Linked DNA regions of Schizosaccharomyces pombe. Changing the gene in region 2 together with the main gene of any one other region gives a genetic interaction. Each region holds a gene or a part of one and is shown on either strand. Other genes may lie near its edges.

Region 1 (4,235 bases), 520 kb from region 2:
GTTCGATTACATCCAGGAGAAGCCGTTTTTCTTCGTGCCTTAGATCCACATGCTTATGTTTCTGGAAATATAATTGAGTGCATGGCTGCCAGTGATAACGTTATCCGTCTTGGCTTTACGCCAAAGTTTAAGGACATAGAAACTCTCGTAAATAATCTCACTTATCAGACTGCGGATGCCAAATCCCAACTTACCCAACCTGTACCATTTGCCAAAGCTTGTGGATCTGGCAAAACTCTGTTATATGATCCCCCGATCGAAGAGTTTAGCATTTTGCAAACCAAGGTTTCTCCTGGTCAAAAACAATGCATACGCGGAATCAATGGCCCTAGCATTTTACTTGTTACTGAGGGTTCAGGCATATTGAATGGAGACAAAGGAGATGTAGCATCGATATCTCCTGGATTTGTTTATTTTATTTCCGCAAATTTTCCATTAACGATCTCTGCGACTTCAGAACCTGTTGTCGTTTACCAGGCATTCTGTGAGATTTAGTTACTCTGCAGCTTTTTACTACTATCAGCACCATTATAATAAAACAATACATGGAATTTTTAAATTTTTAACGATACTGGATAGGATGGACAAAATTAAGTAAAAACAAATTTATTTTTTCGTAGATGCAATGCATAAATAATGAGCGTTTTTAAGAAATGTAACAAAATGTAGAGAAGAAATATAGACAAAAAAATGAAATGAAGAAGATGAACCCCAAAAATAAAATAAAAAATGAATCCAGAAGAAAAATGAAAAAAATGAAAAAAATAAAAAAAATGAAACCAGAAAAAAAATGCGAAAACTAATCAACAACGAAATAAAGCATAAAAATGGGAATGACAAAAGTAAAACGAATGCAAAAATAATTCTAATAAACAAATTTTTTTGACCAAGCATCCACTTTTAACACGCAATTTAGTACAACTCAAAGTAGGCATTGCCTCCGGTGACAGAGACTGTACAACCACTGCTGTCAGCGGTGGAACCATGGAATGATCCGTCTTCATAGTAGCAATCACCACTAAGGGACCCACCATCAGATTTAATACGGATATTGTAATCAAGTTTAGCAGATGATAAAGGATTGAAAGACATAGAAAGCCAAGTCTTGCCGTCAGTGTAACCAGACCCGAAGTTCATAGGAGCCCAATTGCCATAATCATCGCCCTCATTACCCCAAACACAGACATCTTCTGCACTTCTGCCAGATTTATTAACATAGTATTGAGCGGATGTCTTCTTTCCTCCCCAATTATAGTATGAATCTTCATCAACATCAGAAAGAGGTTGTTTTGAACCACCATCAATATTGGTAGGGATATTCATGTTCTCAGTTCCGGGGTAATCGGTACGGCAAATTGCGACATTGGAACTCAATGTATTTTTAACATAGGCAGTACCCTTTCCATCTTCACAAAGATTAGAATTATCCTTCTGGGTGAGATATAATTTACCGTTCTTGCAATACAAACCACCAACGGAAACGCCATTGTCAGGCTGCTCAGACGGCCATTGGGTCTTAGACATTCCGGGCTTGCATGCATAGGAACAGTATGTGTTATCTTGGCATGTAGAAGCTGTTCCGTATTTACCATCATTCTTCTGAACACCAGACCATCCTCCAAAACCTAAGTAATCAAGGCGGACAACGCCATTTTGATCATCAGGAAAAGAGGAGCAGTCGTATACGCCGTCAGGAAAACCACCGTCTCTTTTTGAAAAAGCGGTAGTGTTTGTGACATTGACACCAACAGTTATATTGCTAGCATTCAAACCGGCATGATGGTGATGGTGATAGGGAGCATTACCAAGAGGCATAGCTGAAACCAAAGGAATGGCGGAAACCGCAAAACAAAGAAAGTTGTTAAAGAGCATTTTTAGATTTAAAAGATTTGACAGGAATCTAACGATTGACTTTATAAACGATAGGATATGCTAGTAACTTGATACTAGAAAATAAAAGAAAGATGGTAAAGAATATAATGGTCTTTACCTTTTGCGGTTCTGATTGTTTAATTTCAGCTCACGGCTTTTCCCTAAAAATCAGCTCAGCTTTATATACATTTCTTTTTTCAAGCACTTCACCATCTTTTGATTAAGAGCCGTGGCGTTTTGCCACTAATTAACCATGAAAGCCTGTAAGTTTTCAACGTTGATTTTTTCAGAAAATTTCTAACCATAAACCCGAAATAATTAGCGCCAAAACAGTCAACTATTGCGCTCCAATCATTGCTTGCCTTGCTATCGGCTTTGTATTCATTGGCTGATAACTTAATTAAAAATGAACTTAAAAGTCAGTTGATAAATTCAACCAATTAAATGCGTGAATTTGATCTACCCCAGGAAAATTTATACTGTCCCGGGGTCGCGGGGCGTTCAATCATTCATTTCAAAGCAAATTATTATTATTTCCAAGCCAAGTAATTTAATTTTTGTTTATCGCTTTAGCTTTCTTATCATAAGGAAGTTCTTGGTCCCCTGGGCCTTTTGCAATTGAATTGCGCGGTGTACGTAAGCCTAATGACATCCCTGTATACCTAACTTACAAATACGTTGGCTCGACTCAACGTTATATTGATTTTCTCCTAATACTATTAAATATATTTAATAATCTCTTGGGAAAGTAATCTGGTACATACAAATCATCCTAGATATAAGAGGCTCGGTGCATTTCGGCAAATGATGTTCTGCAGCTCATTAAATATGATATAATATTAATTAATTAATATCGTGTTTACACTCGGTTTATCGGTTTGCTATGCTAAGAACTTTTACGGATAACAATTTAATTATTTATCTTGGTAGCGTATTTGACGCTTCTTTGGATACTGAGATTAAGTCAAATTTTGAATGGAGAGAAGTCGAATAATAGCCCAATGCCTGCCGAAATTACCCGATGCATGTCATTGACGAGACAAAAAATTTCTTTCAACGGCCTAAGAAAATGATGTACTAGAAACGCCATCTTAGTCTGACATTTTACATTTTACGCTCATGCTCAAATTTTATTAATAAATTATTATATGTGTCCGTGTCATTTAGAATATGACAGGGGAGGGTAATCTCTTTCCCAACTTTATTGGCGTGTAATGAAATTCGCGAGCTACTATTGTGTCTGCATTCTTTAGCTGCAAAAACGCAACGGAAAAGACAATTTTATAATATGAATACTTCACGTGTTCATTGTTTTTGTCTTTAGAGAATTTATTTGAAAATGCTGAGGAGGTTAATATCTGGTATACAATTAAAACACTATCGCAAATAATGTAAAAAAAAATAATATTGAGGAGCCATAACTAAGTCATATAACTTTTCTTATTGAACTATTGTTATGTCGCGATTTAGTCGTATTTACCATAAACTATAAAAACTTTTCTTAATCAACAGTAAAATTGTTACTTATTCTGGTGTTACTTACACCTCCGCTTGCGTAGAGTGAATTTAAAATTCATTGCCAAGAGTTTATGGTCTTTACGATCTATCTCGCTGAACTTCAAAAAAACCAAGAAAAAGTATTGCTCTAATGCATTAAGACGATAACTATTTGCAAAATAATTTCATATACATGTTTCCCAACGGGCAGTTGTTTTAAGTAAATTCATCAGTATCGATTCTTGAACCAGGTTCTCTAACATCATAAAAGAACTTGACAAATACTTTTCTACTAAGTGTCTGTAAACTACTTGAAATGAATGAGAAGAAAAAAGATAGCCTATCTGTTTTAGATTCCAATGAATTTTTCGGTGAGACAACTATGGTATCACCGAGTATTGATGTTTCCTCTTCTCCCCGGCCAAATGTCGAGAGATTTTCTCCATGTTCCACTAAAAAAGATCTCCTGGAAGGAAATAATATAATGACCAGAATTCCCGAGGAGCTTAGTCGTGTTAGTCTACAATTTGATAGCAAGGGAAGTCAGCAATCGATGATATTTACTAACAATCGATGTTTATCTGATAAAGAAAATTTGGAAAACTTGCAAAATCTTTTATATCTACATTGTGATCTTAACCGGCCCCATTTGAGTTGTGAGCTGCCGTCAGAGCATCGCGAAAAGTGCCTTAAACGCCGTAACTCTAGTCTCAGCTCTAATTTGCATGCTAATAAGCGGTTTCTCTTCAATTCTCAAAGTGATGGGAATAAAAAGAATGAAACTTTTCCTTCTACTAACTACTCGAACGTTTTCTACCCAAACAACTGTGACAGTAAGGAAGTCGCTAGTGAAACAACATTCTCAC
Region 2 (4,306 bases):
GTTTCAGGAAGAAATGGAGAATCGAATGAATCAAACTAGAAGTGAATCGAGCACCCCTGCTCAGCAATCAGCTGCTGGAAGCAGCATTAATGTTGACACTGCCGGGCGACAACCTTCCGATGAGATAAATATTCCTGGCGAATACGAAAACTCGAGTGAAGTTGCAGGATCACGAAATCAAACTCCTACCCATTCTTCCATTGCTGTAGACACCTTGAGTAATGTTGCGGTAGACCAGCCTGCGATATCCACTCCGTCGGACGTTGTTGGTAGTGATGCCGGTGATACTAGCAAGGTTTCGTCGGGAACTAGCACTCCTCGAATGGCTGCTCCGATTGCTAGACGATCAAATCGGCATCATCCGTATAGCAGACCTAGCTCAACGCGTCCTCAGTGTCAGCTTGAGGATCAAGGCATTTGTGATCCTAATGATAGATTTGTGCACTTCGAATGCGGTCATTCAGTACATGAAAGATGCCAGCAATCTACTAGCAACTCCGAAAATCAAATGGACGAAGAAATTGGAGAATGCCCAAAATGTCGTAATGAAGAGCATAAGTAATGTTTGTGTTTTTTTACTCTTTTGTTATCTTTATCATGAAAAATATAGTTGTTTGTTTATTATGCCTTTTTAAATCTTCAATACAAATTTGGTGATGTCCCTTTAGAGTATCAATATTTCATGCTATATAGATTTTTATTGTTTTTGTATTATTTATATCTCAATACTTATCATCTATATTATTTGCTCTCCTATAAACTAAATGATTATTTGACTATTACAAAAAATCTCATTATTTTTTTCAACGTTCATTAATAGTTTTGTTTGGTACCAAGGAATTTATTATTATAAGATTAAATGACTCAATGAGTTAAAGAATTAAAATATGAAAGATAGCGGATGTTGTAAAGGTCTCCTAAATTCTAAAATGCCACCCAACATGGGATCGTCTACACCAATAAATAAACTGTCGCCAGAAGATGAGTAAGCGGTTCCGGCGATTTCTCCAAAAAAGTCAATAACTTGGGATGTATTAAATAATTTAGTATCAAAAAGTTGAACAAAATCGGCTTGTTCCGTGACAGCTAAGCTTTCACCTAATGGAGAAAAGCACAAATTCGTCACAGCACTCATTTGGCTACCTAGATTTCGAAACGACTTACCAAGGGCACGTATGTCCCAAACTTTAGCCGTTGTATCTTGTCCTCCAGTAGCCAAAATATTTCCATTTGGATGCCACGAACCAGTAAGTACAGAGTCGGAATGGGGAAGTTTGGCTGAAACGGAATTTGATCTAATATCTATTAACATGGCGTCTTTCGAATCCGTGCATACAAGCGCTAATGGAGTTTCATCAAAAAGTTGGACGCAGTTAACAGCATTTGAACACCTGTAAACAAGAATGGGGCTAGTACGCTGGACATCTTCCACATAAACAGCACCATCATTACAGCCAAGGATGAATTTTTTTTCGGAAAAAAGTTGAATATGATTAATCGAATCATCTGAAAGCTTACGAGTACTAAAACTTCCGTTTTTAAAATTGAAAATACAATATTGTCCATACAATGTTCCCAGACATCCTACGGCATTTGTAGTATCCAAACATGATATCGCTTTTTTCTGAAGGATATTATTCTTAAGGTCAATGATTTGAACAGAATTATCATGCAATGTGTTTTCCATTCTGATGCTGTTATTGCTCACATAAATGACAGAATGCTCACCAACCACCTTTACGCTTTTGCAAAGATGGTGATGATTCCGCAAGCAATTAGGATTTTTCAAAAATCTTTGAAATTCATAAAACGAGTCTTCAGCGGCGACTTGTACAGTATCTAGCGATAGCTCTTCGGGTGACCAGTCTGAATGATTGCAAGACAGGCTATAAGTGTGTAATCGATAAAGACGAAAGTTTTTCCGTTTACCAATTGCTTTATTTCCCCAGGGAATTCCTTGAAAATCCACTGTCCCACAATTATCGGTGCTTTTTGGGTTCAATTCAAAATTTGATGCAGTGGGGAATCCATAGTGGTCTAACTGAATTAAATTCCGGTTTCCTGTATACCAAGAAGTGTAAAAATAATCATCTAGATAATCTTGAAGTATAGCTCCACTTTCAGCTAGTTTTAGCATTAGCTTTCAGAGCAACCAACGGACTGCACGTTTAATTTACTTACGAAGCAAATACTGGTCTATAAATTCTCCATTGGACATATAGAAATATTTAATTTAAAATAAATATTATCTGTATGGCTGTAGAACAAAAAGGAAATCAAATAAAAAATTAGAGAAGGACAAGATCGCCTCATGGAAGAAATGAGAGAAGGACAATCGACGTTGCAAGGACCAATTGACTCTTTCGCTAACGATTTTCGGCAATTAATCTTAAAGATTTTATACGTATGAACCTAAGTGAAAACAAAATAAGCATAAAGAGGTCTTTAGCTCAAAGGTATAAAATTATCATAAACAGAGGCGTAACCAAAATTGCAAAGCCAATTTCGTTTGTCAATGGACGAAAACCTCCAATTGATCTTTCTAAGTTTTAAAAATCACCAATGTTGATCGTTTTGAATTTAAACAAATATACATACTTAAAGAGGTACGGCCAAAACATTAACCATTATGCTGAAGCATCACTGAAAAGAAAAGCTCGCTAATTATTTTGGATTTATTTAAGGTTTTTTGAAGAGAATGAAATCCTTCAGAATATAGAGAACGAAGTTGATTCACGAAGCCGAAGGTGGACGTCTCCATTGAGTAATATGTACGAGAAACACTTGCAATCTAAATCTACATTGCAACTCTATCAATTTCCAAAACGATCCTGATTTAGGGTAGATGTCTTGGTTTGCTATCGGCTGGGCTCGTTTCTCTATAGGATTTTACTTTTCTGGTTTTACCATTCTATATAAAATTAAGACTAGGATGTTAACAGACTTAATTTAATCCATACGATTAGTCTTTAAGTAATGTTACCTCAAATTAAAAGCATTCCATTCAAAATTTATATTATTGTTGCTTATTGTAAAACTAACACCCAAGAATTCGCATTTAAATTGGTCCCTTTTGGAAAAAGGATAAATAGTTTTTCATAAATCAAAAGCTTTTTGAAGCAATTACAAAGATTGCCCTCCCACAGGTCGGTAATCGTAATTTGAAATTACAGAAGAACGTTTTACTATAACCTTTTTAAATATATAAAAAAAAGCAAATAAAGTAATTCTAATAAACAATATTATGCCTACGAGCACACTAGACGAAAACAGCAGTTTCTGTCCGACCACTGTATTTGAGGTCGAAGGGTTTTACGTTAGTTCGGTACTACAGAGCTTCTTTTCCTATTAATTTCCTATCTCATAGTGACAACTATAATTTTCACTGTACTTTGTGGATTTGAAGGTTCATTGTCATCAATATTTGTCAAATCACGTTTATAGCCAACACAACACCATTAGTATCAAAAGTGGGATTTTGCAAAGCGAACAAAAAGAGCAAGATTTACAATTTTCAAAAAAAAAGTGAGAAACTCGCATTTTTGGCTAGAGTTTATTAGTGGCCTAGTATATTCACGCGTCTGTAATGTTTCAAATGGATAATAATTCATCTATAAACCAAAATCAAATCAAAACGTAAAGCAACTCCAACACAAATATTAGCATATTCTCTAAATTGATGTTTAAACAATCAATCAATATAGGACTTCTGTCTACAAATATAGTAATATATTTTGCAAGCAAAAATGCTCCAATATTGACAAAAGCATAAAGGCACAAACTCCTCCTTTCGAATGAACTTAGCAATCATTATTGAGTTGACATTATTCTTCCATCTGAGCTTAAAAGTACGCATCACTGGCCAAATCAGTCATTAGTGTAGAATGCGTAGGCTTCCAACCTAAACGTTGCTGCGTAAGAATACTTGAAGTTGGATTATCAACAGACAAAAAGCTGGAAAGAAATCCAAAATGTTCGGTGGCTTCTTCAGAAGATACGGAGATGACAGGTATATCAAGTCGTTTGCCAATCATGCCTGCGATTTCTTTGATCGGAATACCTTCTTCGGCAACAGCATGATAAATGGAACCAGCAGTTTCTTTTTCTAGAGCTAATACAAACAAATTAGCAGCATCAGTTCTATGAACGGCAGGCCAACAATTCATACCATTACCGATATAAGCAGAAACACCTTTATTTTTGGCCACGTTAATGAGCATGGGCACAAATGCGTGATCTCCTGCTCCATGAACGGTAGGTGGAAGGCGAAGGATTGAAGCACGTACTCCTTGAGATGCAAATTTAA

Evidence for each region.
Region 1: mutations in SPOM_SPBC2A9.03 (region 2) and psu2 together harm fitness more than expected from each alone (negative genetic interaction), as found in Schizosaccharomyces pombe (one large-scale study listed by BioGRID).

What each region holds. Positions count from the first base shown.
Region 1 is NC_003423.3:3,465,658-3,469,892, forward strand, and holds psu2 (beta-glucosidase Psu2), read right to left. Parts: upstream 2,161-4,235; 5' UTR 1,873-2,160; coding exon 913-1,872; 3' UTR 613-912; downstream 1-612. Other genes in the region: mpi1 (mannose-6-phosphate isomerase), read left to right, coding at 1-495; cullin 1 adaptor protein Pop1, read left to right, coding at 3,686-4,235.
Region 2 is NC_003423.3:2,949,072-2,953,377, reverse strand, and holds SPOM_SPBC2A9.03 (WD repeat-containing protein), read right to left. Parts: upstream 2,301-4,306; 5' UTR 2,219-2,300; coding exon 2,182-2,218; exon of another isoform or gene 2,125-2,181; coding exon 881-2,124; 3' UTR 822-880; downstream 1-821. Other genes in the region: san1 (RING finger protein), read left to right, coding at 1-562; SPOM_SPBC2A9.02 (NAD-dependent epimerase/dehydratase family protein), read right to left, coding at 3,843-4,306.